Styela clava: one gene and its partner. The main gene of each other region encodes a partner of the protein of the gene in region 2 in a complex. Links are inferred from orthologs where the notes say so. Each region holds a gene or a part of one and is shown on either strand. Other genes may lie near its edges.

Evidence for each region.
Region 1: the proteins of protein prenyltransferase alpha subunit repeat-containing protein 1-like (region 2) and geranylgeranyl transferase type-2 subunit beta-like are in contact, whole or in part, in a crystal structure (PDB 6O60), measured with the Homo sapiens proteins. The link is inferred for Styela clava from reciprocal best matches to the Homo sapiens genes PTAR1 and RABGGTB. Residues at the interface, in NP_001093136.1 of Homo sapiens: Val61, Lys62, Leu65, Pro66, His69, Leu73, Arg76, Leu97, Asn98, Asp100, Phe101, Thr102, Thr103, Asn106, Lys109, Glu110, Leu113, Ile141, Arg144, Trp145, Pro192, Ser193, Tyr195, Ser199, Ile202, Trp203, Gln206, Val231, Ser232, His234; in NP_004573.2 of Homo sapiens: Lys6, Asp36, Tyr37, Cys40, Met41, Glu43, Tyr44, Ile89, Gly90, His91, Asp92, Asp136, Trp138, Glu140, Phe177, Asp178, Gly182, Cys183, Arg184, Pro185, Gly186, Ser187, Glu188, Ser189, His190, Gln193, Trp217, Glu221, Arg222, Pro225.

The regions. Positions count from the first base shown.
Region 1 is NC_135258.1:7,571,094-7,587,502, reverse strand, and holds geranylgeranyl transferase type-2 subunit beta-like, read right to left. Parts: upstream 6,272-16,409; 5' UTR 6,192-6,271; coding exon 5,184-6,191; 3' UTR 4,145-5,183; downstream 1-4,144. Other genes in the region: uncharacterized protein LOC144427126, read right to left, coding at 764-4,108. UniProt on the Homo sapiens protein: Catalyzes the transfer of a geranylgeranyl moiety from geranylgeranyl diphosphate to both cysteines of Rab proteins with the C-terminal sequence -XXCC, -XCXC and -CCXX, such as RAB1A, RAB3A, RAB5A and RAB7A.
Region 2 is NC_135264.1:16,943,300-16,959,725, reverse strand, and holds the start of protein prenyltransferase alpha subunit repeat-containing protein 1-like, read right to left. Parts: upstream 6,480-16,426; 5' UTR 5,406-6,479; coding exon 5,284-5,405; intron 1,594-5,283; coding exon 1,423-1,593; intron 118-1,422; coding exon 1-117.

The DNA of each region.
Region 1 (16,409 bases), on a different chromosome or scaffold from region 2:
GCAATTCACTACCTTCAGAATATCATTTTTAGTGATTATATTAATCTCGAACAAAGCCCACACAGCCTGGCACCCACCTTCCAAACATTTTTTGATTATTATATTTAATGTTTTAATGAATTTTTTGATTGAAAATATTTTACAATTATTATTGTATAACCTATTTTAACATAGTCGAGATATCCTGGGCGACCACAGCAAAAAATCTAGAAGCAAATTGTGTCCTAATTGTCTTCATACGATAGTGACCAAGCATAATGGGAAATTTCTGCATTTCCAGCCCTTTTTTGAGTTTTAAACTCGGCTAATATGCAAGGATATACGGTAATTTCACAATGGTACAAATTATCTAACAGAATAGGAAATTTCTAAATCAAAATCAAAAAATAAATTACTAATTATCTAACAATATGTAGTATTTCAAATAAAGAATATAATATGTAGGCTATAACATAATCAGTGTATTGAAAATAAAACACAAAATGGTTTGAAGACTTGTTGCACTAAATGCAAAGCAAACAGCAAAACATGGATAGAACCAAACATACCGAAAAAATGAGCCATATTTGTATAAACAAATCACAGACTTTTGGTGCAATTTAATCCAAACTTCTGCAAAATTGAAAAGCTTCAATTGTTTATCAGGGTAACCAGACATAACACACATTAATCAGACATTAAAAAATCCACAAAAATTCTAATTACACAGTTTGTAAACCAATATCTGCACATGTATATCATCAAATAATAATGCGTCTCCAAGTTATCGTATTCCAGCAACATGATACTTTTGTCTTCCTTTGTAAAAATGAGATTGAGTCAAACTCAAATAACCTTTGATGACACAACGATCAAATCCGGATGGATTTTTGATAATCGAGTGATACAACATTACAATAGAACGTACTTGTGTAGTTGATCGATGTTTGGTATTGTTGACTATTTTCCAAAAATAACGGGCAGCAGATTGGAAGTCATTGTCTATGTATTGTTGAACACCTTTGTTATACAAATTACTGGTCATATTGTCACCAATCAAAGAGTATTCTTTTATAGTTTTTGTTACAAAATCACAAGAATGTTGTCCAAGGGAGATAAAGAGTTTGAGTCCAACAAAAAAATTAATCTGTTGAAGATCTTTAGCTGAAAAGCAGCCCTTAATTAATCTTTTCCATACAGTAGCAACTGATGCAAAGAAATAATTTTCTTCATAATGTGATAAAATATTGTTCAAACTTTCTAAACAATTAGAATCCAATTCTGCTTGCATTACTATAGCAGTCAAAGCAGGATCGCAGAACACAGATTCCCACAGTACAATTTTGAGTATTTTGGTCAAAAAACTTTTCATCTCACTAATCACGAATGGGTGACACAACAAACTCTGTAAATGATCAATAGTAAATGATATTGAATAGAGGACTAACATCAGATTTTCTTCTGCAATAAAAATAGCAAGTAAATTTGGGATAACCATAAGAAAATATGAACGAAAGAAACTGTCATTTTTCAAGGAGGTCAGAGCATCAGAGTAAAGACTACAAATATTTGGTACGTCTTGCAATTCCGTAGAAACCAAACATGTACGTATATATGACTTGATGCCCAATTCATAATAGTGCTTGGTAGATTTCTTCAATCTTTCTCTTGTAGGAGGTGACCGGCAGAAACTTATGCCTTTTAAAAGAAGTTCCTTCTCCTTACTAATGTCTTGTTCTTCAATGCCTCTTTCCACATAACACATTCCAACCAGTCCACTTGATAAAATACCTTCACTCACAGCTTCCAAGTTAACAATTTCAATTTGAGATTCTTCAATGATATTTGCTAATTCCAAAGTCTGATATGCATCCTCTAATAAGTTTTGTACCATCTGAAATTCAAATATATACGCCACAATTTCTAAGGTAAGTAATTTCCCGAACATACGACACTTGCATTCAAAAAGATCTTTTACCAAAGAAAGCAACTTGTCGGCACCTTCAACTTTGTTTCCCATCTCTATTTCTGCAAAAGCTATTCCAAGTTTAAAGCCATAGAGTGAGCATATGTCATTGTTTTTTTTCATCCCTTCCATACAATACTCTAACATTTCTGCAGGACTCATGCAAATCGTCATTTGCATTACTTGGGTGAAACGAATTTGCATCAGAAATTGGGTCCCCGCATGACCAATAAATCTTTCAAATTGATGATTATTTAATTCAATTGATTCTTTAGGATTAACTTGAAATATATACACAATGTCCAGCAAGTTCATTGCAAACGAAATCCTAGCTGGATGTTCTGTACCATCTTCAATAATTTCTTTCAAATAAATCTCTGTATGGTTGATCCACTCTGTTGGAGGTAATTTATTGGTTTGTCTAGCTGCCATCAATGTGGCTTCAATCACCCTCAGATCGTATATCCCGATTTCATTATCAGTAGAAGGTTTAGCACTCAATAAATCTTTTTCTAAACTTGCTTCTTCCCGAAGTTTAGGAATGGCATCTTCAAAACGTGCTAATTGCATCTGGGCCAAAGTTTTTCCATCAGATATTGTTTTAGGCCGATTTTCAAATGAAGGTTTATCTATAAGCATGGCCTCTCTGGCCTTTTCATGAAGATTATCGCTAAGAACAAATATTTGTGTGAGGCAATGTGTAGCACAATTTTTACTGACATATTCAAATATTTCCTCCGTATAAATTTTGAACCAACGACATCCCGATTTTGCATATATTTTCAAGCGCAGTTCATGAGCAACTGCAAGCGCATATGTAAGAGGAAAATTACACATCATCTCAGAAATAAGAAAGCTGGATGATGTTGTCAGATAAAAATTATTTAGAACCTCAAGAAGGCGAGCCCAATAACTAATAAGCGCAGTGATTGGTCTATAAAACAAGTTTTTCACATCAATTTTGCGAGCAATATTTGTAACAATCCTTCCTGTAACTATCAAGTTTACGTTTCTGGTTATTTGTCTTTCAATGTTTTTTGAAACATCATACTTTATCTCCTTATTAAGAATTGCTATTTTATGACTTTGAAATTCATCATATAACTCCCTATTTCCCCCAACGAAGCAAGTTCTTATGAGCATTTCTTTCAAATAGTAACCATTTTTGATTTCTTCATCCGATGTTAGATACGAAGCCATTTTACTGACAGGTTGAATCAGTTCAACTTTGTGCTTACGATTTTTTGTTGGTTCTTGTCTACCCAGAGGTGTACTACATGCATGGGGAACCATTCCATCAAAAGATACACCACTAGTAGTAAAACTGTCGTAATACCAATTTTTAGACTTATCCTCAGAATAAAGGTCATTTATACTTTTCACGCCAACACTTCTGATTATAGTCTCACCCAAACCAATCATAATAATCTCAAATATCACAGCAAACCATCTAAAATATTCTTTCACTTCATGATAATTTGGAGAATCATCGATACCCTCTTCAAGAATTATTATGTGTTCAAAATCAGAATATAAAGTTATTTCTTCCCGAGCCAAAGATCCCAAACCAACGAGAGCAAACGAACATGGACAATCTCCTAGAATCTTCATACAATAATAAGCAATGCATTTCATTAAATCAATATAATTTTGTGTGTTTTCCTTCATCATGTGTTGGATAGTTTCAATTTTATTCAACTGTTTTTCAAGAATTTCATCTTCAGAAAGATCTTCATCAAGTGGTTCCAATTCACGTAACTTAGCTTTTTCATCCTTTCTTAGATTCTTGAATGTTTTTGAAATATGAGAGGATAATTCAGAGAGAGTTATATCACACTGTTTACCTCCACAAGCTTGCAACAACACTTTCTCCATTGATAAGAGGAATTTGTGAACTTCATTTCCTCCTTTTATATCGTATAATATTCTTTCATATCGAACTTTAGCACCGTGTAATAAAGCAGAACATTTTATAAAATCAAGTTTTTGTTTCATTCCTGTAGATGACTTTGCTTTTTCAAGATATAACTTGCCCATTTCAAACAAAATATCAGTTGATTCCTTTAGTTTTGATCGCCTTTCATCACCGAAGGGTGTACAAACTGCCTTCAACTGTTCGGCTAGAACTTTTTCGTTTGGAGATATTTCAACCTCTGTTTCCATATTTCATTAATGATATTATTTTATTCGAAATGACTGCTACAAATATAATAGTAGTGTTTAAATGTTTTAAACAGTGATCAAAAGATATTGTCTTAAGCGTTCAATTTAAAATATGATAAATTAAATATAAGTAATGATGCGATGCTTATTCATGATCTGTAATAATTATGTTATGCTTGGGAATAGGAAATGTATTCATATTACCAATTTCTATTGTGAAACATCTTATTACTATGATAAGATCACTCATGATTTACATATCTTAAAATACATATGAATATAATTATATAAACATATAAACGACGAAAACTTGGCATCCTGTAAGAAGTCTGACAAATGTAAATTAAAAAAAAAATCCACTTAGTTATCTTCATGAAATTATTTCAGTCCAATTTTTCAACAATAATAATTTACCTATACAAATAATTTAAGTCGGCATTTTGTTAAAAGTAGTATATTAATAAATGAATGATTAATCTATTGAAATCTCAATGTGTTTCACATTAAACCAAGATAAATTAATCACGCATATTAGGGTGTTAGAAAGCCATGTTGTCCATAGTCTGCTCTGATATACAAGTCGAAAACTGTTTGTACCTATCTGCCATGGCAGTCATATCTGTACTCCCGAAGTACGCGAACCAAGATGACGGACACCAGAACGTAGTATGTGTACCAGGTTATGGTTAGGCCATACTTTTATTCCAATATCAAGAGTAAATTAAATAGCAAACCATACCCACCTCCTGGTAGTAGAACCATTAACAAATTGACATTCCAATTAAGTGAATGTGACAAAACAATATTCTGGAAGGATTTAATATCATTGTTGGGTATAAACCCCTGAACCACAAGTCCTGAGTCACGTCGAATCACAGGTAATCAGAGTCTAAAGAGTTGAGTTAATCACTTAGATAAGTCACACTGGCGTTAGTTGAGTACGAGTTTTTGAGTTCAACTCGAGGCTGCTTAACATTGTTTGCTATCAACTTTAAACATCAAATAGTGCAAAAGCATGCATCAACATGTGGTACACTGATCGTGTTGAATTACAGTGTGGCACAAGTTTTCAATATTAGTTCAAAGTTTGTATCTGTATACCAACTCTATCAATGACATACTGTGGCATACAAAACACAGGATTAACTTTCTTCAATCTAGAGTCACCAAGAAGTGAAAGACCAGTGATGCCGAACAAAGTATGAAAAGGGTCAACTATATCACCAGGTCTATCAGCAATTCCACCAGTTTCATCATCTTGTGACGCAAGAATAAAATTGATTAATTTTTTACTGTCAATCCAATGAACTTTTCCTAATATAGAAAGTGAAGATAAAACCCACCAGGAATAACAAACATCAGGTAGCTTTTCAGGTCTGCCATTGAGGCCTCCAGATGGAAGCTGTCGTTCACATAACCACCAACCGAGTAAATCTGCATCGACTCTGTGGAGTTGACCAAGAATTGACAATGCACCGAGACAGCAATATATCTGTCCAGAATGCGACTCTGATCCAGGCCGACACCCAAAACCTCCATCGAAATTCATACATGAAATAATAAAATCAACAGCTTTTTCCAAATCAACTTTGCTGTCACCTTCTTTCAACTTACTGAGTAATGCTAGTGATGCAATTGCACAAAATGAGAAACGGGTGTCAATTTCACCCCATTTATCACCAGCGAAAGACCCATTTTCATTTTGAAGGTTTTCAATATATTCCACAGTCTTTTCCACATCTATAACATCCAATCGATCATAAATACATGCAATCTGTATCGCACTGAGAGTATATAAAATACTCGGGTCGTGTTGTGGTGCAGGAGAATATCCACCACAATCATGCTTACAAGAATTTAAATAGGACAGAATTTCATCTTTATTCATTTCTTCAATTTGTCCCAACAGATCCATCGCGGTTAAACCCCAATATATCCCACTTAGTCGAAGATACTCTGTCATGCAGTATTCATAATCATTTTTCTTTGATCCATAAGCAGCTAAATAAGTAGAATGCTTTGTCATTAGCAATTCCTTTAAAGCGCCCTGCTTCAGTGTTACATCTTTGACAATGGTTGCCATTGCAAAATGCCGCCTACTTTTAAACTTTTTATATTTGCAAATGGTTAACTCCTGTTTCTATGATCTGATAAAGGACAAATTAAATATAAAATCGGTTGTTATAACTGTATAAAATAATACAAAAGGTACGAGAACTTCCTGACGTCCATATTCAGATATTACTGTCCATACAATTGACACACGAATGCTCAAACATGATAGTATTCGAGCAGCGTTTTCAAACAAAGAGGAATTGAATGTTTTACTTTGTATGTATTCGAGGGGTCTTATTACTTACTGAATACAGCGCGAAACACTGCAAAGAGCGCAAAACAGCCGAAACAGAGGAAAACAGCGCGAAACAGAAGCAAACAGCGCAAAACAGGAGACGCAGTCATTACCACCTCCTGCCACGAAAGAACCACGGTGCCTCTCGCCATGGTTTTATGGCGCTATTTCCGGTATATTTACAAGGTTATGTACCGGATTATAGGTCATCATGCGAAATTTTATCTACCTTTTTGGTGCTCCAGAAGTATGTGCAGCAATATGTCGCACAACCTGAATCCGCTACACACACACACACATACTATTTTCAGGTTGTGCGCCACCTTGGTGCACATACTTCTGGAGGTCCCTTTTTACCTAACCCTAACCCTAAAGCCAACCACATCCATATGGAAAATGTTCTAAATTATGGTACCCAAAATGTGTCACAAGCAGGGGCAGACCTGCAATTACAGCATTACTGGCTACATACGTTGGTTTGTGTTTTTAATTTGCTGCCGTGGTACTCCAACTCGAAACAAGGTGCCCCGAACTCATTGCAAAAAAATTTTCCGCTTCACACTGTTTCCCTCTGTTTTGCACTCTTTCGCGCTGTTTTGCGCTGTTTCCCCACTGTTTTGCGCTTTTCCCTCTGCTTTGCGCTGTTTCGCGCTATTTTGCGCTCTTTGCGGTGTTTCGCGCTGTATTCAGTAAGTAGTAAGACCGGTATTCGAGTATTGAGTGTAGCATTAAGATATTGTACATATCTGGTAAATGTATGTATGTATGTTTATTTGCCTCAAAAATGTAACAGTATCTGCATAATAATTAAACAGTAAAACAGAGACAGGATACATGTTCAAGACCTTACTGACCTAAGACACAGATGTGCGTACATGACATGTAAATATTTCATTAAAGCTTGAATAATTAATGTCTGAATGTGGACAGATTTTTATGTGTAGTAGGAAGAAGGGTGTGCAGGTGTGTGTGGAGGGGGGGGAATAATTCAAAATGATACGGTACGTAGTTTAAGAATTTTGCAAACCACTATATTGCCAATATTGGAGTGATGAATAAGAATAACATTTGCTGAATTTTAGATACTTCCATGACCTTTGTCTTTACAGTTTTATTATCATGTTTTGTCAGGAGATTATAGAATAAGATCTAACAACACCTCACAAACATGCTTGTTAATTCATGAAAAGAGATTATTTAATTTTCAATTAGGCACCCTGAAGCTGAAGTTATGCAGTTACAGAGTGATGAAACGATAGGTGTGATATGTTGAATATAATGCAAAAAAATATTTTTTTTAAATGTTATAAATACTAGTACGCCTTTCAAACCTCTTCGGAATATTCTTACTGCTGCTATATACAAATATACCGGTACCGGTACCGGTACGGTGCCGTACCGATACCGGTACCGTATTCTTACAAATCTGTAGCTGCATAGACAGCTGTAAGTGCTACATGGTACCAACTACCATACCATACCGGTACATACACACCGCTTCCTTGACCATCTGAAAACAAACTTACATGCATAGACTACATACCGAAACTGTATTCTCATAAATCTGTAGCTCATAGACAGCTGTAAATGAATATGAAAATTCAAAACAATTCAAGCCAACACGCCACCCGCTGGGGCTGTTCACTATGGACCTTTCCCCGAGCATCGACTTCCTTGTTTACTTCGTAATATTGGCCAATCAGCAAGATGCAAAAAGTGACGTAACAATGCCCCCTTTTTGCATCCGCTCAGACACTTTTCTCACTCAGACAGATTTTCGAGCGTGGTTGTAAACATTACCTCGTTTTTGCGTTTTTGAACTCTATTCGTTAGTTTTCAGTTGTGTTTCGGAAACTTAAATAAAAATCAGATAATTTAATGATCACTCTGTCTATCTAGGAGTTTTAATTTAATTGCAGTAATAAAAATTAGTGTAGAAATAGCTGTGATAGACTAGCCTGAAAATCTTTACCGGTACTTTTAAAAAACAGATTGTTATGTGCGTTGAATCATAATGATGGTTTGAAACACATACCCCATTTTACAGGCGCCAACTCGCAAAATCACCCCTAAAATAGCACTGAAAATTTTGCAATAGTAAAGTATAGAAAGATTTTTCCGGGGGTCAAAGGTCGGGGAAAGGTCCATTATCAGACATACACATTGCACATGCATATAACCGTAAATATATGATATACCGGGTTATTTTTATTTTATAAAAATCAAATGAAAAACAAATGGGTTACATGTAACAAACAGCTAGATCAAAGGGAATTACTAAAAATTTAACATTCTGCTTACAACGCGAAACAAAAGAAAACGGATCAAAAGCAAATGGAAACATGCGAAACCAAGAAAATCGTGCAAAACCCTAAACTTACATGCAGTGGTGGGATTCAAATTCGAACCGACTGAATCCCACCACTGCTTACATGTATGCATGTTTTTTCGTCTCGTAAAAACAATATAAAAGAGTTGACAATTAACAATATTAAAAACCAACTTTTACTTGGTAACTTTTATTTTTTTAATGGTTCCACAATGTGGATTGTTCAATAAGTAAATAATAAATTGTTAACTTTTAGACCAGTGGCCCTCAACCTGCGTATCACCGCGGAAGATTTCAGGGATGCGATCAGCTTTAAAATATTGCAACAAGCAACTTTTGCGATATTTTATTCATTATTTATTTTATTTACTATTTATTTATTATCAAGCAACTTTTGAGTCGGCTAAAATATGCCGGCAACGCTTTCTCTTCATCTTCCATATTACTATATATGTATTCGCTGGAAGGCGTTTATAGCAGTGTATTTGGGGTAAAGATAGAGTGACCATATTTTTGTGACTTCAAAGCGGGACGCCTCCAAAGACAACGAACCCTTTACTGTGATTTTGTAACTTTACATTTTCCGATTTTACTACATAGGGTTACTTTTTAAATTATCCCGACTGTTTTCATTAGCCATATTGTCATCGAGAGTTCATGCGTATATTCTCTGTTCAAATATCGGGTTCAGTTCGGAAAATAGAAAGAAATCGACGTTAACGATATAAATAATTCGAATTTCGATTTTTAATGTGCATCAAAAGAAAGAAAGAATAGTAAAATAACCTGGCGTTTTCACGCATTGAGAATTTACTTCGCCAATCATGCTTTTCTGTAGATAACACCTTCTTCAAAAAAACGTTGTTCAATGTTACATGTGATACGTTCGCTAAAAATGTTAGCGGGAAACAACGAAACAAACAAAATAACGCATTCACCTTCAGCAAGTAGCGCTGCGCTACATAGCAACAACAATAACGAGAACATGTTAATTGGTAATGTTCGTGTATTATGCTGGATGGCTGAACGCCAAAGCGGGACTTTTGGATGACTTGTCGGAACGGCGGGACAAGACGCTAACAAGCGGGACTGTCCCGCCTGAAGAGGGACGTATGGTAAGCCTACGGCATTTGAATATATAAAGTAGAAAAACGCGGTTCGATGAAGTCATCACATAAGTCTTGGGCTGTTCACAAGAAATGCGTGCTGAATTAACAAAAAACGTAGAAATTGACGTTGATTTTATATGACTGTAGCTTGTGTTCAGAAGTTACCTCAAGCGACATCTTGAGTCCAATCACCCAGATAAAAAAAAACACGATGAAGTTATTTTGAGCGACTTGGGTAACATGTGAAGCGCCAGCGCATGTAACAGGCAGGCCAGTTTTAACCTTCTTGCTGCCGAAGTTGGATCGTGTATCGCTTTCTAACAATACTGTGAAACAACATGGCCAAGAAATGTCTGTTGACACTGAAGAAGTGATTGTTGAAGTGAGAGGAAAAAAGGATAGTTTCGTCATACAATTTGATGAATCGACTGATGTCACCAAATGTTTTCAATTACCAATCAATCAATTTTATTTCGGTCACTCTGAAGGAAACAAAACAACAACAAAGTATCTGGAGGACGGGCATAACTTAATAATAACAAGAGAGCTATGCTCAAATATATGGACACGTAGCGCCACCCAGTGGCAATAAGTTTGATGACGTCATAGCGAAAAAAAAGTAACAGCCTTCTGGAGAAAAATTTTATCTTTAACCACTGAAAATATCAAAGCAATCGGTCCAGTATTCGAAGAGAAAAGCGATTTTTTAAAAATGGAGACGGAGACAAATAACAATAACAACAACATTTTGAAACGATCGTTATGGCCACTAAACGTGTCCAATAATAAAAAGTACAAGCAATCGGGCAATAGCCTACCTTTTGAATCAATTTCAAAATGTGAGACGTGTATGTGTAGCCTATAATAAGGGTGCTTTCCTACAAAAATATGGAATAAAAAACAGTCAAGCGGGACGTTTGGATGACTTGTCGGGACGGCGGGACAAGACGCTAACAAGCGGGACTGTCCCGCCTGAAGAGGGACGTATGGTAAGTCTAAGGCATTTGAATATATAAAGTAGAAAAACGTGGTTCGATGAAGTCATCACATAAGTCTTGGGCTGTTCACAAGAAATGCGTGCTGAATTAACAAAAAACGTAGAAATTGACGTTGATTTTATATGACTGTAGCTTGTGTTCAGAAGTTACCTCAAGCGACATCTTGAGTCCAATCACCCAGATAAGAAAAAACACGATGAAGTTATTTTGAGCGACTTGGGTAACATGTGAAGCGCCAGCGCATGTAACAGACAGGCCGGTTTTAACCTTCTTGCTGCCGAAGTTGGATCGTGTATCGCTTTCTAACGATACTGTGAAACAACATGGCCAAGAAATGTCTGTTGACACTGAAGAAGTGATTGTTGAAGTGAGAGGATTAAAGGATGGTTTCGTCATACAATTTGATGAATCGACTTATGTCACCAAATGTTTTCAATTACCAATCAATCAATTTTATTTCGGTCACTCTGAAGAAAACAAAACAACAACAAAGTACCTGGAGGACGGGCATAACTTAATAATAATAATAAAAAATACAAGCAATCGGGCAATAGCCTACCTTTTGAATCAATTTCAAAATGTGAGACGTGTATGTGTATAATAAGAGTGCTTTCCTACAAAAATATGGAATAAAAAACACTCGTTGACGTAAAATGGTGGTGCTGTAGTTCAATTTCATTACAAAAATAACACAGCGACAAAAAATTGTTACTAAAGAACAAGCTCGTTAAATAGATTGAATGTTCCATAACAGTCCATACACAAATCATGGATTGGGGTATCGGTTTTTTTTGTCGTTTTCGATTAGTTCAATTTAAAATCATTGCATTTGTTTCAATGCTTCCAACATTGATATCTGTTGTGTATTGACTTTTCATGTATTTTAAGTTTCCACTAGCTGGCGTTAAGTGTTTACGATTGCATCATTCTTGTAGAACCTCATGTGACATTAGTGATTCGGTACGCTGTTACAAGTTTGCTTGCTAAGCGTTGTAAATGTTTGTTTTCATTAAACTGATGTTTCTATCAAGTTGGATTCTTGTATAGTTCATTAGTCAGTGTCAGGGACACAACAGATTGGCGATGAGGATGGGATGGTTTTTAAAGGGTCGTTGAAAATACGACATAGTGAAAACAGGCAAATTACGGTAGTAGACTACTGGTGACGTCATATTTCGGAAGAGAAGAAAAGTGTGATAAATGGCTGAATTACATTTACCACCACCGCAATGTTTCTTGCAAAGTCCAGGTGAACCACCAGTACCTTGGAAACGTTGGTACAATAGCTTTGAAACATATATGAAAGCTACTGGACTTGATCAGGAAAATGTATCTGCTGATAAAAAACGTGCAATTCTACTGCATTGTTTAGGCATTGAAGGCCAAAGAATATTCGTTATCAGACACAGATACTTATGAACAAGCAGTTGCTGCTCTAGAGAAGCCGTTTGGTAAAAAGACAGTGTAAAAATGCAAAGACATCTATTTTGGAATAGAAAACAGCATGATGGTGAGTCAATAATAGAATATGTCGCTGCACTCAGAGAAATAGTGTCAGAGTGTAATTTTGCAGATATGTCAGATGATTGATCTGTGGTCAAATAATCGAACACACCATCTCACCAAGAATTGGAGAAAGGTTGCTCATGGAACCTGATACACTGACTTTGGATCAAGCAGTAAAACTGGCTTGTCAAATTGAAACTGCTCATGAAGAATCACATCGTATTCAGAAAGAAACCAATTTCAATGGAAAACCAAAGTTCAAAAAAGAAGAAAATCCTGTTGTGCAAGGAATTCAAAGGCAAAGATATCACAATCAATGGAAAAATCAAAAAGCAAATTCATCATATGCTAAACAACATTGTACTTGTTGTGGATCAAATTCTCATGCTTCATATAGTAGTAATTGTCCTGCTAAAAATCGTATTTGTCATGCATGTGGCAAAAGAATTCATTTCATGAAAATGTGTAGGTCTTTGAAACAAAAGACTACAAGACAAGTGTTGCCATCACAAAAACAAAGTGATGATGTGCAAAATGTATTTTCTGTTGAAAATAACAGTGATTCTGTTAATGGTATTTTTAAACATTGTTCTTTAATGATTGATGGTATAGAAACCAAGCTTTTAATTGATTTGGGTGCCAAAATCTCAATAATGAATGGAACCATGTATCGAAAATTGTTTTCAAAGTATAAGCTTAAGCCCACAACCCAGAAATTGTGTGGATATGGAGGGTCATCTATTGAAAGTATTGGGGTTATTGATTTACCTAATATTCAGTATGGAAATGAGACCATTGATGTATTTTCATTTTTTGTAACTAAAAAGGGAGTTAGTCTTATGGGAGTCGATTTGTTTGATCGTTTGAATTTTAAAGTTACATGTAATGGTGCTACTGTGAATTCTATTGATTTTCGTGCTGAGTATGCTAAAGTATTTACTGGCTTAGGTAAAGTGTCAAAATTCCAACATGATCCCATGGTTGATCATACAGTCAAGCCAATATCTCAAAAACTGAGAAGGTTACCACTTTCAGTTCGTGCTAGTGTGTCTGCAGAATTGAAAAGGCTTGAAGATAATGATGTTATTGAAAAAATTTAAACTTCACCATGGATTTCTAATATTGTCATTGTCCCTAAGAAAAATAATGAGATTCGTCTATGTGTGGATCTCAGACAAGTAAATATGGCAATAATACCTGATAAATATCCATTACCTACAATGACAGAGCTCACATCAAAATTTCATAGCTCTACAGTGTTTTCGAAACTTGACTTGCGTCGAAGTTGTGAACAAGTGCCATTAGCTAAAGATAAAAGGTATCTTACTGCTCTTATAACGCATGATTCTATATATCAGTATAAAAGAATACCGTATGGTTTATGTTCAGCGCCCTCTCGTTTTCAAAAAATTCTGTCCATAATTTTGAAAGATTGTGAGAACACAGTCAATAATATTGATGATGTTATTGTGCATGGTATAAATCAAGCAGACCACGATGAAAAGCTTGATAAAGTTCTCAGAAAACTTGCTGAGTATAATTTAACATTGAATGTGGATAAGTGTCAATTTTCTAAAAATTGTATTAATTTTATTGGTTACAAAATTTCTGGTTCTGGTGTATTACCACTTGAGTCAAATGTTGAATCTATTTTGAATATCCCCATGCCTAAAAATAAGAAAGAGTTACAATCTTTTCTTGCAACTACTAACTTTTATTTGAAATTTGTTCAAAATTATGCAAATGTTGCTGAAACATTGAGGAAACTTTTAAGAAGAGATATTCCTTGGGAATGGACTGACTTACAGTCAAATGATGTCAATAAGCTAAAAGAAAGCATAGCATCACCACCTATACTTGCTCATTTCAAACCAAATGCTCAAACTATTGTAACTACAGATGCTTCTGGTTATGCTGTTGGTGCTGTATTTTCACAAATTGACAGACAAGGTAATGAAAAACCTGTTGCATTTGCATCAAAAACTTTGAGTAACACAGAGAGGAAATACTCAACTTGTGAAAGAGAAGCACTTGCATCAATTTATGCATGTGAACACTGGCATATTTATCTGTATGGAAGAATATTTATACTTCGTACTGAGAAAACGAGTCCTAGAAATGGCACACAGTAGACATCCTGGTATGGTCAGAATGAAGCAAAGGTGCAGAGAGAATGTATGGTGGCCAAGATTAAATGCACAAATCAAAGATTTTGTTCACAATTGTCAACCTTGTGCAATGAGTGGGAAATCAATCAAACCTGCCGAACCACCACTTCAATCAATACCATGGCCTAGTGAGCCTTGGAAAGATATTTCAATTGATGTATTTGGAGAAATGCAAATTGCACCTGTGAAAGATAGATTTGCTGTTGTTATAAATGATCTACATTCAAAATGGCCTGAAGTTGCTTTGACATCTAATGTAACATCTACATATCTAATAAACATATTAGAAGGATTATTTGCAAGATGGGGAATTCCTGAATCTATAACATCTGATAATGGTTCTGTTTTTGTATCCTATGAGTTTAAACATTTTCTTGCAAAACATGGGATAAAACAGAAATTATGTGCTTTGTACAATCCTACTTCAAACTCTATCACAGAGAGATTTAACAGAGTTCCAAAGGACTAAAAACTCATTTGAGAGAAGGGAAGACAGTTGGTAAAGCTATTCAAATAATTCTACAAAACTACAGAGCTACTCCTCATGCTTTAACAGGAAAATCTCCAGCAGAATTGATGACTGGAAGGAAAATGAGATTGTCATTAGAATGTCTCAAACCTTCGAATACCGAAACAAATATTGACATTCCGAAAATGCAAAAAGAAATTGCAATTAGTCAACAAAAGTCAAAATTGTACACTGATAATAAAAGACATGCAAAAGTACCTATATTTGAAGTCGGAGATTGGGTTCGAATAAAAAGACCAATTCGAGGTCACAAGTTCAAATCAAGTTTGTCGAATCCTCACAAAATTACACGGAAAGTTGGACCTGCAACTTATAAATTAGAAGGTGGTTCAATGTGGAATGCAAGAAGACTTGTACGTTCCTATCAACATAGTTTTCAAAACGGAAATGATTTTCATGTGGAGACTTTTGGATTTAATAATGATGATATTCCTAATTTGAGACAAAGTCCAAGAAATGCACGACGAAATCCTTCTAGAAACCGAAGACTTCCATCGTATCTACAAGACTGTGAGTTAAGTTGAAAAAATAAAATTTTTCTTTTCAGGAAGGGGGGAAGATGTTGTGTATTGACTTTTCATGTATTTTATGTTTCCACTAGCTGGCGTTAAGTGTTTACCATTGCATCATTCTTGTAGAACCTCATGTGACATTAGTGATTCGGTACGCTGTTACAAGTCGAAAGCTCGCAAAACACCCCTAACAGATCCTCCACCATTTAACTTTAAATCCAATCTTTTATCCATAAACTTTAATTCCGGTAGATGGGCTTTGGTCATGCAGATACTACGCGATACAAATCCAACAGCAAATTACATGTTTATCTTAAAGGATTTATTGTCATGCTTGAATCGAAGAATAAAAATGGTAAATTACGTCAACACGCAAGAATTTGTGAAGATTTGAATTCTGATCACAAGTGTCTTATTAAATAAACCTACAGAGGTGCACTAGTTCTCCCGCGGGAATACGACAAGAAGAGTCTTCGAACTTCGACAAGAACTATTCACAGTTTTCAAAGATAAGATACACGAATTTCAAAAACGATTTGGAGAGCAAAGAGGTTATCTTACAGTTTATTCACTCGGATATTTTTTTGGCTCTTAATCATATGAATCTTTCGTTTCAATGGCCAAACATGTCAATCCAATTGCAAAACAGATCTATCGAAGACTTCGTCTCGGAGCTTGAAGCGTTCGCTTGGATACTGGACATTTGGGTGAAAAATGTGGAGAACAAACGTTAAGAAATGTTCGAATTCCTTATCACTATTCCGAAGTAGCACAGTGAAAAATCATATCAAGAAATTCCA
Region 2 (16,426 bases):
GACAGTGCAAGTTCTTTTCGTAAAAGATTGGTCTTGTCATTCATCGAGTTCATCAAGATTATGTTTTTTCTTTCGTTCCAAGCTGTGGTACAGTCTGGGCAGCAGAAGACAACGCATCTGGAAAAAAACGCAAAAATTTAACAATATAAGAAAAAAAAGTTCCCTCGTGCCTCCCCTCAAATATGGTATGCAAGTGAAGTTTTTGGACAATTTGAATCCAAGTGGGTGACTATTATAACATGATGCACATTTTCGTTATATATATAATTGTATTATTGTAAGTATTTGTAATTATTATTGAAAAAAATTTATAGTGAAATATGATATGTCTCAGTCACAGCTACAAAAATCTGATTTAATTTTGAATTTATCATTGGAGTTTTTGGAAGGACCATTATCTTTCCGGTTTATCAAATCGACTTTTACTAACTAATTTCTACACTATAATTTCCCAAGGGAAGTAGTTTAAAAGGTTGAACCCCCCCTTTTTTTAAATGTAAAGAGCCCATTAGTGGAGAGTCGGCCCCCCTCTTTTTTGTATCATACATAGCAATTTTTCATAGCTTTAAACGGTTCCATTACATTTGAACCCACGTACATTTGAACCCACGACGATTGCACCGGCATACTATTGCACCTATGGAAATTTTTGTTGTTTTACGGATATTTGAACCCATACTAACCCTAACCCATGGGTTTAGCACCCGCATATAGATTGAACCCGCGAATATACACATGGGTTCAAATGTACGTGGGTTCAAATGTACGGTCACCGCTTTAAACACATTTTAAAACCCCCCCGAGACTTTTGAAAACACAACTTTTCCGGTCGACCGGAACCGCTAGCTGTTATGGTCTCAGAACCCCCATCCCCTTTGAAATTTCTGGCCCCCCCCACTGGTTACTAGGTTTTAAAGCAGCGGTCCCCAAGCTTTTTTCAGGATGACCCCAAGGAGAACTTTCAAGCGTCCAGTGTGACCCCAGGTCAATATATATATTTTTCATGAAACTTTAGTTTGGAATTTCTTTCACTGGACTTTTGAGTTTGGTCATGTGGCGGTATTAGTAAAATAAGCTAAAACCAAACAGTGATGTCACAATAAGCACGTACATTTTCTATAGCATAAGCATAGAACGATGCTTATGAGCCTGTTTTACAGTAAGCCATGGTACAAAATGCTAAATTCAACATAGTTTGTCAAATCTTAGATTTGTTGTAAACTTCCTCTACCATACCTCAGCGACCCCATGACCTGTTTGCGAACCTACCTACTTATCACTCCAACCCAATTTGGGGTCGCGACCCCTGGTTTGGGAACCTCTGTTTTAGAGATTTTAACCTGTGGAACTAACATAGATTAGATTCAACCAGTCCATCAGCCAACTTCTTTAATGGCACATTGAACAACAGACTCCACTCACCTAGACAGCTTTTCAATTTCCTGGATATCCAAATTCTCATTCATCAAAGCATTGTAAGCATATTTAAACAGTAGTGGAATACACCATAGCTTCACGCCGATATGGTCACCTTCGATAACAATAGGGCTTGTGTTTTCTTCGGCATTGCTCGGAATGATTTCGATACTTTTGCTGAAACAAAAAAAATATTGAGACTTTATATTTATCCCATGGAGAAGAGATATAATTTTGGTGCTCCTTAAGTACCAATGTAATATGTGTACCAGGTAAGGGTTAGGCCATAATTTTATTCCAATTTTCCTTATTTCAGTTCTATTACAAGTTCGGGGACTAGCAAAGTGTCTCCCTAGTATTTGTATCTGAAATTATGGCCTAACCTGTTACACATACCTAAGGAGTTTTATAAAACTTATTCTCACCCATTTCGCTCACAACAAGGCCAGGGCTGAATTGAATATCCCCATGCATTCAAATTAAGTATAGTAAATTCCTGATATTAGGTATGATATGAAATAGTTTCATTATGAAATATGTCGGGATATTTCAATTGCAAGATTTTCTCCAACTGGTATTTAGTGGCTTGTTATGCACAACCATAATTCTTTCTACAGTTTTAACCAGGGCTGGGGAGATTATAGATTACAATGCCTCCAGATCCACACTATATTCAACCTTAGACTCCATATCATTAATTTTTCTTGGTATTGGCTTGGTTCTAAGAAAATTTAATACTGAGCAAATGTTTGTTTTAGGAAGCAAGAATACAAACTGTAAAACTCGGTGACTCTTGTAAAATATTACCACAGTATAATAAAATATCAAAACATGAGTGTGACATCACAATGAACAGTGACAACCAAAATACAGTGCAGATGAAACAAGCATTCTAGCTTAGAGGACTAGCGTAATGGTGCACCAAAATGCGATTTTATTTCGCAAAGCCTTACAGGTGAGTGGCCTTGACCACTAACATGAAATATCAGCCCAAATTTTGAAATTTATCTCCAAAGTTTTGGATACACAAATTTAACTTAACACTTATAAATTAATGTTATGGGGCTTAAAAGGATAGATTTTATCATTTATATAACGCAGGGTGGTCCGAAATTGGCAGCTCTGCGGGCCACAAAATTACTTTTGCATTGTTCGCGGGCCACAATTGTGTCAAGAACTTCGCTCTTTAACTTCGCTAGTTGCCTGAACAAGCCATAACACTAGTCAATTCAGTGACATTAATGATGTAACAATATGTCAAAAGATTTTTTGTTTAATTTTATGACGAAACAACACAAAATGGGATTTTTTTTAATTCCCCTCCGAATGTGACGCGGGCCACAGATAATGAAGCGGCGGGCCACATGTGAAAAAATAATCCGATGGTTATGAGCTGGAGCCACTAAAAGTCCTGGTAGCCTCGGCTCCATCTATTATTATCCAGCTCCAACAAAATGCCCAGGCTCCAGGCTCCCCAGCCCTTGTTCGAGCATTCACAAATATCCAACCATCGGTGTGGGCTACGTTTTTTTAGGGCATCTCTGGGTTTTTATGGAATTTGAGGAGTATTAATCTGCGATGGCAAAACAGTTGAGTCTCATTGACTGTAAGGCCACCAAGCCCTCAGCAACATAGCAAATTTTGCATATCAGATACCTAAAACAGGAGCGTGACAAACCTTTTTGCTGCCCGGGCGAGTTTGTGATAGTGATGCCACTTATATGTAAGTTCAAAAATAATTCGGGGGATAAACAAATTATAGATGTTGTTATACACGAGTTTAAATAAATTAACGGTCAAGTAAGAGTGGAATGTTTGTATTTTTAAGCAACAAATGCACCAATATCAGATATATAGCTGTTACGTGTACCCAGTGGCCTATCTACGTAAATTAGCGCACATGGCAAATTTTTAAATGCGCCCCCTTAATCGTTGACTGGCAATTTTTAATGACTGTTGTTGAATTGAGATACTTCTTCGTCGTTATTATTTTAGTAAAAATTAGAGTTTCAATCATTCTATTGAAGCATTTTTTGAATAAAACGTTTTGCCTTTTTTTTGCGTCCCTTTTTAAACGGCGCCCATGGCACGAGCCTTACCCTTCATACACCACTGCCTGTACCCCCAAATTTGCGTGCCCCCCCCCCCCCCCCCTTTTTTTAAATAGGAAAAACCAAATTCTGTATCATACATAGAAATTTTTTTAACACACATTTTCTGACCGGACCCACTAGCTGTCAAACTTACCGTAGTTATTAAACTAGAAATTTCGGAACCTCTCCTTTGAAAAATCCTTGCTATGTCCCTAACTTCCAACATCAGTTTGCTCAAACGCCAAAATTCTTGGAAGTGGGGAGAATGGACGTCAAAATACAGGGCCAGATGGCCCTAAGCACTCAAGACTTTGGTGCCCCATATATAAAAAGTTAAAATATTTAAACTTGTGCTCCATGTTATCCCAAATTTAATTAGCAAGTCTCAGTATTCATTACTAATTGAGGGCCAAGTTAGGATTAATTCACATAATATTTTTCAGAAATAGTTCCAATGGCTGTGAACATTTATAATAGAGTTTATAATTGTGATACTCCAAAAAGAATATAAACAGAAATTCATTTCAACCGATCAATATTAAGGTCTTAGACGTCTGACCAACTCTAATCATTTCATTTAACAACAAGGCACAATTATAAATGTCTTTGACGATTTCTGCGGTTCCCCTACCAAGGATGTGCTTATTTTGCTTAATGGTTAATCCAGCGCTGCTGACATACTAAAAGCAGCTATACACAGATGTCAGTGGAGATTCGGGTGCCACAAAACTTGAAACAAATGCCAGTCAAACACTAAAGGAGAAAGAAATACCACTACATGGGAATATAGATACTGATATTTGGGAAGAAACATACAAATTTCCATTCAAAACCGAGAATCTGTTTTAATATATAGGGTGTCCATGAAGTCTCAAAATTTTTTAAAAATGCAAAGGGAATTTATCGATACCAATCATTGTTTTGGCCCTCACAGATGTATTAAATGAATTAGAAATACTTGAACAATTACTGATTAAAATACAACAAACCTGGTTAAGATATATTGAAAACTGACTTCATAACAAAATTGAAAAGGGACTATATGGACACCCTGTATAATGCATGTGATGAACTGTTAACCTTTCACGGAAATGCTAAGATTAACTCGCCAAACTTTTAAATTGGCCTCAAACATTGAATTTGCATAATAATGTCTTTGCGTTTGTCAATAGACATTATTATGTTGCTCATAAGCATCAGAATACGAACTCAAAATATCAGGGTGCTTCCCAGGCTGAGAAACGCCCTGACACACAGCTGCTATTTCGGAAATCAGGATTTTTCGACTATCATGTTCAGAACGCATTTAATTTATTACAATATGGGTGACAAACAATGCATCATTATGCTGTTTCAGTTCAAAGAGGGCTCTAGATCAGGGCTCCCTAAACCCGGGGTCACGACCCCACAGAGGGCGCGCATAGAATTTTTGGGGTCGTAAAGAGTACACTAATTTCACACAAAGGACTATATCTGTCTACTATTAATCAAAACTCGGGTGAGTGGCTCGAACCGAAACATATTTGAACCGTGGCATTAACTAGTGAACCAACAGAAGCATGGGGATAAACACTAGTCAACCCTTTTTACACCATTGACGCACGCCATCTCACTACGTCTTCAGACGAATTGATAAAGATGAATGGGCCCCATAAAAAAACACGAGTGTGAGCATTCATATATTAGTGTGTGTGTGTGGGAGGGGGGGATAATTGGAATAGGTCCTAAATATCTGTATATTATTATTGGAAACCACAAATCAAAATATACTTACATATCATTTATGCTGTCACACGCTTTCAGAAAGTCATGGAAAATCTTCCTTCCGAGGTGAATGGACTCTTCACTTGGCACAAACTTATGGAGTTCCAGATAAGACCAGGTCTGGTTCTGCATGCCTATGAGCCCCTCCCAAGCAAATAACAAGCTCACAACAACCTTGTCTGTGTAAATCAATCTTGTTCTGACCTGCCTTATGAAAATTTAATAGAAACAATTCTAGCTTAAAAATGGCATGGACTCCATCGAAAAGTTTCAAAATGATTAGAAATTGCAAACTGAATAGCTGAATAGGTTGGACTAGGGTTTGAAATTAAGTTAGTTGATCAATAGCCCTTCCCACCCAAATTATGGCTATTTTCAGCACATTCCATTCTTTTTTACCATGTTTAATTGAAGCATTATTTCTGGCAAATAATTCTCAAAATACAAAAGTATTTGAAGATAAGACTAGTGATCATGTTCGAGCACTCAAGAAAATTTTTTTTACGCACACCCTGAGGGAAAGAAAAACTGGGGCTTAATTATATTACAGACCTCTTTGTCTGGTTACCAGGCTTGGCAATATTACAGAACTCACAACTTTTCGTGGGCTCAACAGAGTAGATATGGCAGATACTATAAAGACTATATGGAGTCCATCATCACATTTTTTGGGTACTCCCGAAGTATACCTACGTACCAAGATGGCCGACATCAGAACGTAGTATGTGTATCAGGTTTGGGTTAGGCCATAATTTTATTCCAATTTTAGTTATATTACAAGTTCAGGGACTAGCCAAGTTACTCCCGTAGTATATGTATCTAAAATTATGCCTAACCTGGTACACATACTACATTCCAGCGTCCGCAATCTTGGTACGCATACTCCAGGGGGCGTCAATTTTTCTGCTATATCACGGTTTGAATATATATATATAGCAGTGTTTTTACCAAAACAGCAAGATCTTTTTAACCAGAAATTTGGCCCTATCCTTATTATTTTACGACTGTGTTGTTGGGAACCGAAGAAGTATCGCATGTTAACGAACAACTCATTTTTTAGGTTATTTTTTAAGCTCTTACGCCTCTGGAATGACAATTTTTAAATTTAGATAATAGTAAATTATTCCATCAAAAACTTATTTTTAAAAAGTTCAAATTTTTTTGAACAACTTCACTCTAATTGAAGCCGCTTGTTAAATTCAAAATTAAGTATTATTTGGATATTTGAAGCGAGATCTACTGATAAACATATCATGGCTAATATTGATTGTGTGCATTCTTTATCTCCATAAAACCTTCAACCTTCTTCATTAAAACTTCAATTCTAACAACTTTTTGATTCTGACAGTCAAATTACACCACAATTTGAGTATATTGTAAGCACGGCAATAAAAAATGTACAGCTGGTCGAACGGCATGAAATTGACAATATTAATATTTCAAACGAATTAAAATATTCACAAACGGCAATTTTGGAGTTGGGTGACAGACAGCATAGATGAAAGAAATGAGACCACAAATAGTAGTTGAATGAGACTGCAAACATTATTATGTCTTCGATACCTTTTTAGCAAAAAATAGTTTATCATACTAACGTCCTATTAAGTAATTGTGGTGAGGAATGCAAAAAACTTGGCAATTTACTAAAAATAACTGAATTTGATCACAAAATCTAACATTAACATCTTAATCAGAGTTTTTATAACAATTACATGAATTATTCCAGGACTCGCATATTTCGTATAAAATATGTGTGAAAAACTGAAAAAGATTTTAACAACTCGAAATGACTAAGTTACGTCTATCCAAATAACTCCGCGCTTGTGTTTGATTTATCATTTTCAAGCAAGATATCCAAGTTCTTAGCTATTGATATCCCTAGTTTATGCAAAGTCATTGAAGGAAAGACAATATCATATGTTTCACAAACAACAAGAAAAACAACGACTTTAGACCAAAATTGAATATTGTACATCACTTAAAAAACCGGAAAACATGCACATCTTTGAAAAATCATTCCATTTAAATGGTTGTCAAGCACGGCAATGCAATGTCATAATTTTTTTTGGTATTTTAAGGGGGGGTAATGGTGGGTATTTTGGTAAACAGTTTTATATTTTCAACTTGTTTGACCGTCTTGAGAGCAAGAACTTTAAAAAAAAATTGGTTACAGCCTCGACTAAAAACGACAAAATCTGAAAGACGCTGAATGTATGAACTGAGGCAAAATAGCTGAAAAACCTTTAACAAGACACTGAAAGGCCTGATTGACAGCCTGCCTGTGCTTTGGCAGCTTTTTAGTTCTAAGTATGAAAATCCACTGATTATAAAAAAACAAAAGCCGTGATTGATAATAATTACAAAACTCTACATGAAAGTCAAATCCTAAAGCTCTGTCAAAGTCATAAAATTTGATGATTTTGTTGCTAATGACAACCTGGCAATAAGCATGACAAAGTCGGTAAGGCTCTGCCTACTCGCCGGCAACTGATTAAAACATCAAATAAGACAACTTTAACCTGAGAGCTAATTTCTCTATCTGTATCCGTCACCCCCGTACTGGTTGTATCCACCGCCTCCACCTCCACCGTATCCACCGCCTCCACGATAACCACCACCGCTGCCTCCATATCCCCCTCCTCCTTGATATCCTCCCCCACCACCATAGCTTCCACCGCCGCCTCCATATCCTCCGCCACCGCCATATGATCTGTTGCCATAACCTCTGTCATAACCGCCGCCACCACCACCACGCCCATAACCATCATCATCTCGACCTCTGTAACCACCACGTTCTCTATTTCCCCGATTATTTTTTCCATTCTTTTCCGCCCAATCCGTATCTGGCACAACAGTTTCCGCTTTCCAGCCTTTCTCTTCTTTAAAATAAGTCACATCGACAGGTTGCTCCTCGAACAGGGTCCTGTGCCCTTCCATCTGTATTTTCGATTGATGAACGAAAATTTCAGTTTCATTTTCAGGATCGCCTCCATCTAATTTAATAAAGCCATATCCTTTTTGATCGTTAAAAAACTTCACCTTACCCGTTCCCGTCTTTATATCACTCATGATTAACTTAACAAGGAATTTGACACAACTGAAAGGCAAAGTCGACCACGGCGCAAAGGAAATTGAATGCGAGATCTCAACGTGCACCTTAAAATGGCGGCAGTGACCTACTAAAACGCGGAAATAAAAGAGAGAGAGAGAGTGAGAGAGAGAGATTTTAATTTACAATGTCAACACTATAAAACATTTGAAGCAAAATAAGATAAGACAGAAACAAAAATTGATAATTCAATAATAATTGGTTATCATTATTTGTGAGGGTCAGCATACAAAACCGGTTAAGTCACCGAGGTTTCTGACCAATGTTGTATATAAGAAATTAGTCAGATAAAGCATTGGCGATGAAACATGGATAAAAATAGATAGCAAATATATATGTGCGAGTCGGCAATTTAATATTCCAAATCTAATAATGCAAGTCGCGGTGGTAAATAGGTCACATAAATTTTTTTTACTGCGGACAGGTCCAGAGACTTTGAACAAACGTCAAGATTAGTTTTCACAATTATTTATTGTAGTTTCTGTGATTAAATATTCACTGAACATGTACAGGTCTCAAATACATGAAGAAATAAAAAAAATAACGAGCCAATCAGATTATCACAGATTCAACAACAATTAGAAATATCATTAACAATGGCTTTTGAAGTCAAACAATAATAATCATCACATTGATGACAGACAAGAAAGAGAAAAGACCATTAACTTCCAATTATACACATGCAAAAGTTGAAATAGAAGTATTTATATGAAACAGTTAAATTTATAGTATTATAAAACGGTTTTCAACAGACTTACTGTAATTACATATTATACTCAAGATATAAATCAAGAGAATTGATTAATTAAGATATCAGGCCAAATTAGAATATATCAGTAGGAAATACTTTTTCAATTTCTTACTGAAAACATAGACGGAACTTTTTTAGTTTCAGGTGGCCCCAAACCTGTACACACATATACTTCAAAGATATTTTGTCCATCTTAGTGGACACTTGTTGAGTGAAAAAAATCTTGTTTATTTGGGACCTGGTGCAGTATTCATGTACTTTCTTATTGGGGTGAAATAATATTTAATAAAAATAGGGGGAAAAAGATCATTTTTATATCGATGCATAAACTATGCAATTTCTAGCGTATGCATATCAGACAGCTATGGGGGTTTATACTGGTGGTATAGCTGTAAATTAGTTACAGAGAGAGAGATATTCCATTTTTTGTCAACTAAAATGAAACAATAATCATCGTAACAAGAGAGCTATGCTCAAATATATGGACATGTAGCGCCACCCAATGGCAATAATTTTGATGACGTCATAGCGAAAAAAAGTAATAGCCTTCTGGAGAAAAATTTTATCTTTAACCACTGAAAATTTCAAAGCAATTGGTCCAGTATTCGAAGAGAAAAGCGATTTTTTAAAAATGATGGAGACAAATAATAACAATAACAACATAATATTGGAACGATCGTTATGTCGACTAAACGTGTCCAACAATAACAACATAATATTGAAACTATCGTGATGTCCACTACGTGTCCAATAATAACAAGAGAGCTACGCCCAAATATATGGACACGTCTGTTCGCAGTACAGTACGGTGTACCGTACCGTCAGATCACAGTCTACAAATATATTCACACCAAGCGAAGCAGTACAGTAGGACACAAAACGGCGTCCGATGTCCGCAGAACGTTTAATGACGCCATAGCAAACAAAAACAAATCTCACAGAGCTAACAGAAATATTTAAAATGAGTAAAAGTAATAGCCATCTGGGGAAAATTTTCATCTTCAACCACTGAAAATTTCAATGCAATTGGTCCAGTATTCGAAGAGAAAAACGTTTTTTTTTTTTTAATATTTCCGCTAGGTGTGTTATTCTGTGTCAAATAACAACAAGAACAAGAACAACAACAACATAATATTGAAACGATCGTTATGTCCACTACGTGTCCAATAAAGATAATAACAAGTAATAAATTATTTTGGTATAGACAGGAGGGAGTCATACGACCAGACGGCCAACAAAGTCAATTCCCCCTTCTCGCTATTATGTTTAAGATTCACAATTTCAGATATTGGTTAATTTATTTTTGTTTTTGGTTAATAGTGTTACGTGTTCAAACTTAAATCATTCTAATCTTCAAATTAGAAATAAGCCCTTAATCATAAAAACACATACCAGTTAGAAGCCCTGTAGGCTATAATGAAGATATCGCGTCATACACGGAGGATACCAAAACCAGCTTAAAAGCGGCCATTCGTTAGGAGAAAAAGTGGGCTAGAACAATGGACGATTAGAATTATCGACTCGCTGTGCGTGCATTGAATCTTGGATTATCAGCCATGACTGGGAACTGTCATTTGTATTTGTAAATATATACAATTGCAATACATGTATTCGAAACCATGAGCATGTGTTCATCAGATAAGATCAGAACAACAGAATGGGCCAGCAACAACAGCAAACACCGATTATGGTTGCTAAAATTGTATCCACAAAACGGAAAAATAAATTTGGGGAGGGGAAGGCTATAGTAAATCGTTTTTTTTTTTGTGTGTATGTGAAGTGAGCTTTTAAAATTTGAAGAGATTTCAAATGGGTTCAAAATTTTAGACAGAGATTCTGCAGTTAATTACTGAGTACACGACTTATTAGCATTAACCTACGCATAAATATATACTTATATCCCTTCCTAGTAATCAGTAGTTTATTTTTTCACCGTATTTCAAATACACGCTGTAATTACAAAATGAGGTAAAAAAAAATGATGAACATGGTGACAGGAAACGCGATAAACCCAAACCAGTATTGTTCATCAAGCAGCGACCACTATGAAAGTATGACAAAAGTTCACACAAGAATAAGAAGTCGAAAGGACGGACCCGTTTCTGTGGTCTTGCTAACGATTTGTCAGTTTTTAGCTGTTTTCAAAATTTTATGTATATAAGTATAAGTTTATGAAGAGGTGGGCTAGAGTCTACTAGAAACTAGACCACTTCATTTCCACAAATTTGAGCCAAATTATATTCCAGATTGTAATAAATACTTGAAGTCACCGGTAACAGTATAAGTTAGTATAATTGAATTAAAGTAGGAAAATAGGGTATAGGAATATATTAGTTACTAAGGGTGCGGTGTATGCTGCACATTCGTGTTTTAGGTCAGTATGGTCTTGTGCATACATCCCGTCTTCAGTATTTATAATTACTAATTCATTTATATTGTTTTTACGGGACGAATAATACATAAGTTAGTTTTATTTTTCATTCTTAGATATTGACTTCAGCGAGGATAAAGGAATTTAAGATTGGTATTTCACAGGATCATTTTGAAATTAATATGTAAGATCATCGGAGCCATTGTTCAATTTTTTTCCTATGTGTTTTCTTCATTTAATCATTGGGAAGCAACTGGAGACAGTTCATATTTGTAATGAATGATCCATCAGTCTGCAAACTTTGTTGATGTAGACACCATATATGTTGAAGAAGCTAGCTGCTAAATTGATCATCACGAAACGGCTTTGAAAAACGGAAAATAAATCTACGAGTACAATATTCAATGAATGCATATTAGGAAACGACTACTAAAATTATTGATTTGAGTAAATCAGGAGCCTGAATGAGGAGAACTCGACATACCAACAACTAAATGCAGAACAAGTAAAGAGAAATTGACTGCATATTCATAAACTGATGATAATATTTCAAATTTGATTATGTCTTCAACTTTGAGTATATTTAGCATTTCATAGTAATGATTTACACTTCACATTTAGGCTACTTTTCCCCAAAACAATTTTTGAATATTATTACAAATACTCTGCTATTTCGAGACAAGTGTTTTATTCCCATGGAGTCATCGATATATATATATATATATATGGATTGAAATGTCGAACTCAATGGACCTTTCCCCGACCTTTGACTCGGGGAAATTCTTTCTATACTCTACCATTGCAAAATTTTCGGTGATCATTTTAATAGTGGTTTCGCGAGTTGGAGCCTGTAAAATGGGGCATTTGTTTCAAACCATCATTCTGATTCATAGAATTCAACAATCTGTTTTTTAAAACTACTGCTAAAGAATTTTAGCCTAGTCTATCACAGCTATTTCTACACTAATTATTTATTACTGCAATTAAATTAAAACTCCTAGGAAGACGAAGTGATCGTTGAATTATTTGATTTATATTTCATAAACATAACTGAAAACTAACGAATAGAATTCAAAACGCAAAAACGAGGTTAGGTTTACGACCACGCCTGAAAATCTGTCTGAGTGGGAAAAGTGTCTGAGCGGATGCGAAAAGGGGCATTGATACGTCACTTTTTGCATCTTGCTGATTAGCTAATGTTACGAAGTAAACAATGGAAGTAAACATCCATTGGCATTTTGTCTTCCGAGTAAATTTAGTTTAGTCGCAGTGAAAAAAATTGAGCCTTTAAAGCAGTGATGGACCAAAGTAAACTGTCAGTACTTTTAAATTGCAAATAGTTGAATATTTCGAATCGAAATGGTTAGTTATCGGCCAACCTTATATATGAGTACAAGTTAATTATGTGGCATCAGGGTGTCATTAACATGTTTTTTAGCTATCAAAATTATTTTATAGTTGTCTGCACCAAAACGAAATCAATTTTAATACTCAAAAGTTTGGATTTCACCATGACCCATGTTTTATATGAGTCGTTGTATTTGCTTACGCGCCTTTACGAGGGTAGAATGCAGGGTTTCCCAAGCTATTTTGGGCCGGGGATCCCTATTTGTGAATCTCACTTTTGACCGACTCCCATCCTATGTCGTATCAATTTCTATGTCTAACCAACGAGGAAGGATGTTTCATTTACAAAACAACAACGCAAACTACGTTAATATACTGTATGAGGTTGCTTTTCACTGCACGAGTTATCGATTCTCGGAGCAATGGACCTTTCCCCGAGCATCGACTTCCTTGTTTACTTCGTGACGTTGGCCAATCAGCAAATTGCAAAAAGTGACGTAACAATGCTCCCTTTTCGCATCCGCTCAAACACTTTTTTCACTCAGACAGATTTTCAAGCGTGGTCGTAAACATTACCTCGTTTTCGCATTTTTGAACTCCATTCGTTAGTTTTCGCAATTTTTCGGGGGTCAAAGGTCGGGGAAAGGTCAATCAAATTCGTAGATCCGACTCTACGGCAAGTTGGATCTGTATTTTTTCATCATATTGGCAAGAACTGAAATTGCTGCCACACATATGTAGGTCGTGTAGGTTCAATTTCCTTTTCTGACAGAAATGGATATTCGTCTACAACACTTAACGAAGAAGACGCATTGACATTTTGATTGAAACCAATCATTAAAAATCGATCAGACTCTTTTCTTATCTTTGCTGACCCCGTGTGAAGTCATCACTGACCCCAGTTTGTGTACCTTTTGGGCCAGGGGCCAAAACTTTTGCCCACTTAGACTGGCGGGCCATGTGTGACGTAAAAAGTTACATCTTATGAACAATATTTACAGTGTTACAAAAGCAAAAGTGGAAAACAGTAAACCTCGTGTCAAAACTAAATTTAATCGCAATCTCAACAAATTCCTTGCGTTAATCTCCAGCTAAAACAGCAAAAGTTGGTTTTAATCTGGTTGTGGCAGCATCAAGCGGGCCATATTAAATTACCCCGCGGGCCAGATTTGGCCCGCGTGCCGTAGTTTGCCCATGTCAGGTATAGATGATAAAACACGTTGGTATTTGTAAGTTTACGAAAATACAACTGATTGATGTGAATAAAACTATTTCGAGCGAGCAACGAACCATTTTTCTACATTCATTCATTTTATTTCAGTTCTCTCACATAAACAACACTAAATGTAAACAGACAAACAAAATGCAGAGATACCTGGGAGGCGAGCATAATCAATCAATCATCATTTTATTCGTCAGCACAAAATAAACGTATCATAGGGGAAAAAAAAAACATTTCTAACACAATATGAACTTAACTTGTGTGACAGGAGTCGCGAGGGACTTCATAAGGTCTTCAGGCAGCGACACCTTAAAAGCTCGCTGATTCAGGTTATTGAGCACAAAAAATTAATGAAACACCAAAACACTTCAAAAAAAAACTTGAAAGTACGTGCCAACCCACCAAAATAAATGAAACAAGCACAAAAAAAGTGACCGGGATTCAGAATCGGGCAATACTTTCAACGCAATTTAGAAAAATTTAGGTAGATTATTAAATGTAATAACCTCTCAACAACTTCTCCCGTCTCTTTAACGATCCGCAGAGCAGAGTGAAATAAGCCCCAATAGTTCCCTTTTATTCTCGCAGCGCTACGAGTATACTTGCCATGTTACTAATACCCGTTAATCTAACATACAAAATTAAAATGGTGAACACAGGGGAGCTGACTCTGATGACCGTATCGCCCCCTCAGTCCAATCCGAAAAGTTCTGCGTGTGTTTTTATGGCGCTCCGTAAGTATTCGTACCAAGATGACGCACAACCTGAAAACTAACCGGGTACACATATTGTGTTCAGGTTGTGCGCCATCTTTATACACATACTTTGTGAGCACCTTTTTAAATATTGGACACGTAAGTGGACATGACAATCGTTTTGCATTTTATGGCACTCTTCTTCTTATTATTTGAATTATTCTTGGTATCGTTATGTAAAAACCTTTTTTCTCATTGATTACTGGACCATTTGCTTTGAAATTTTCAGTGGTTGAAGATGGAATTTTTCCCTACAAGGCTATTGCTTCCATTTATTTCGGTGAGCTGCATGGGATTCGTCTTTTTGAGTGCTATGACCTCATCCGGGTGACGGAAGTCCCGGAGGGGCACTTGGTTTTAAACGCCTTCATATACCAAAATGAATGGGGCAATGCTCCAAATTAAAGAATCATGTTTGGTGCGGACTCGATTCTGACAAATCCATGCGTACAAAAATAATTGTGCTAAGCGTTAGGAATACGCTCGCCAACGCATCTCTGATTACTCTTCGTGGGATCGCAGGTTCGAATCCCATGCAGGGATGATCATGTGAGAGGGGATTGCTGGACTCCTCGCCGCCGTAGGGTGGTTCACGTAACCACTGGTCAGTTACGGCTTCCTCTACCATCAAGTCCATGCTTCCGAAAACAAATAACTGGCTAACTAATCCCATACCCGACTTGGACTGGTAACCGGACGAGAGGCCATGGTTCGCCATACGATTAAGCTGTCTTATCGTCTTTTCTCTCCCTCGGGATAAATATGTGAATCCTATCCTAACTCCATACCTGACATAGACTGGTAACTGGACGACAGGTCGTGGTTCGCTATACGATTAAGTCGTCTTATCGGCTTCAAACTCCCCTGGGATTCTATCCTGGATACGCAAAACCAAATATTGTACTATTTCAAATACAAAGATCCGGATGTATTTTAGAGATGAAGGTTTTATTCAAAAGGAATAACAAAAACACAAGAGTATATGAACACGGTTTTATTGATTCACCTAGCAAGGAAAGTTGGAGTCCCACTTTGGGGCCTGTCAGGCGCCAATAGCTCAGGATTACAGATTATGGAATAAAATATCATTAAAACACAATCCAAGGGTGCAATAAATTGGGAACGAAGTGCCAAACGGGATTCAAGTGCTCCATACCTAGCAGTGGCTACTAGTGAACGGTGGAAAAATAAGTCGTATTGATCATTTAAAAAACAACAGTAGCACCTGATATATCATTTGGAGCGAAAGGCGTGATATAAAAAAACCACCACAAAGTACAAATACTCTTTCACCCTGTACTATAAATGGTGGAGGATCTTTTGTACAGCGCCCTAGCCAACGCTCAAAATAAGAAAATCAGTAATTATCCAGTTAGAGTTAGTTATGCAGACTGCACTGAAAATTCAAATTTTGAATCAAAAAAGCGTTCAATAGAGAACTTCTATCCAGAATCAAATCCAGCAGTAAAAACCTCACATATTAGAGTGAAACGATTATAACAATACTGTAAAAAACGCTCATCGAATTTAGAGGCATTTTTAGACAAAATCAGAAAAGTTTCACAAGGGGGTTAGAAATAAAACTCAGGCATCAACAT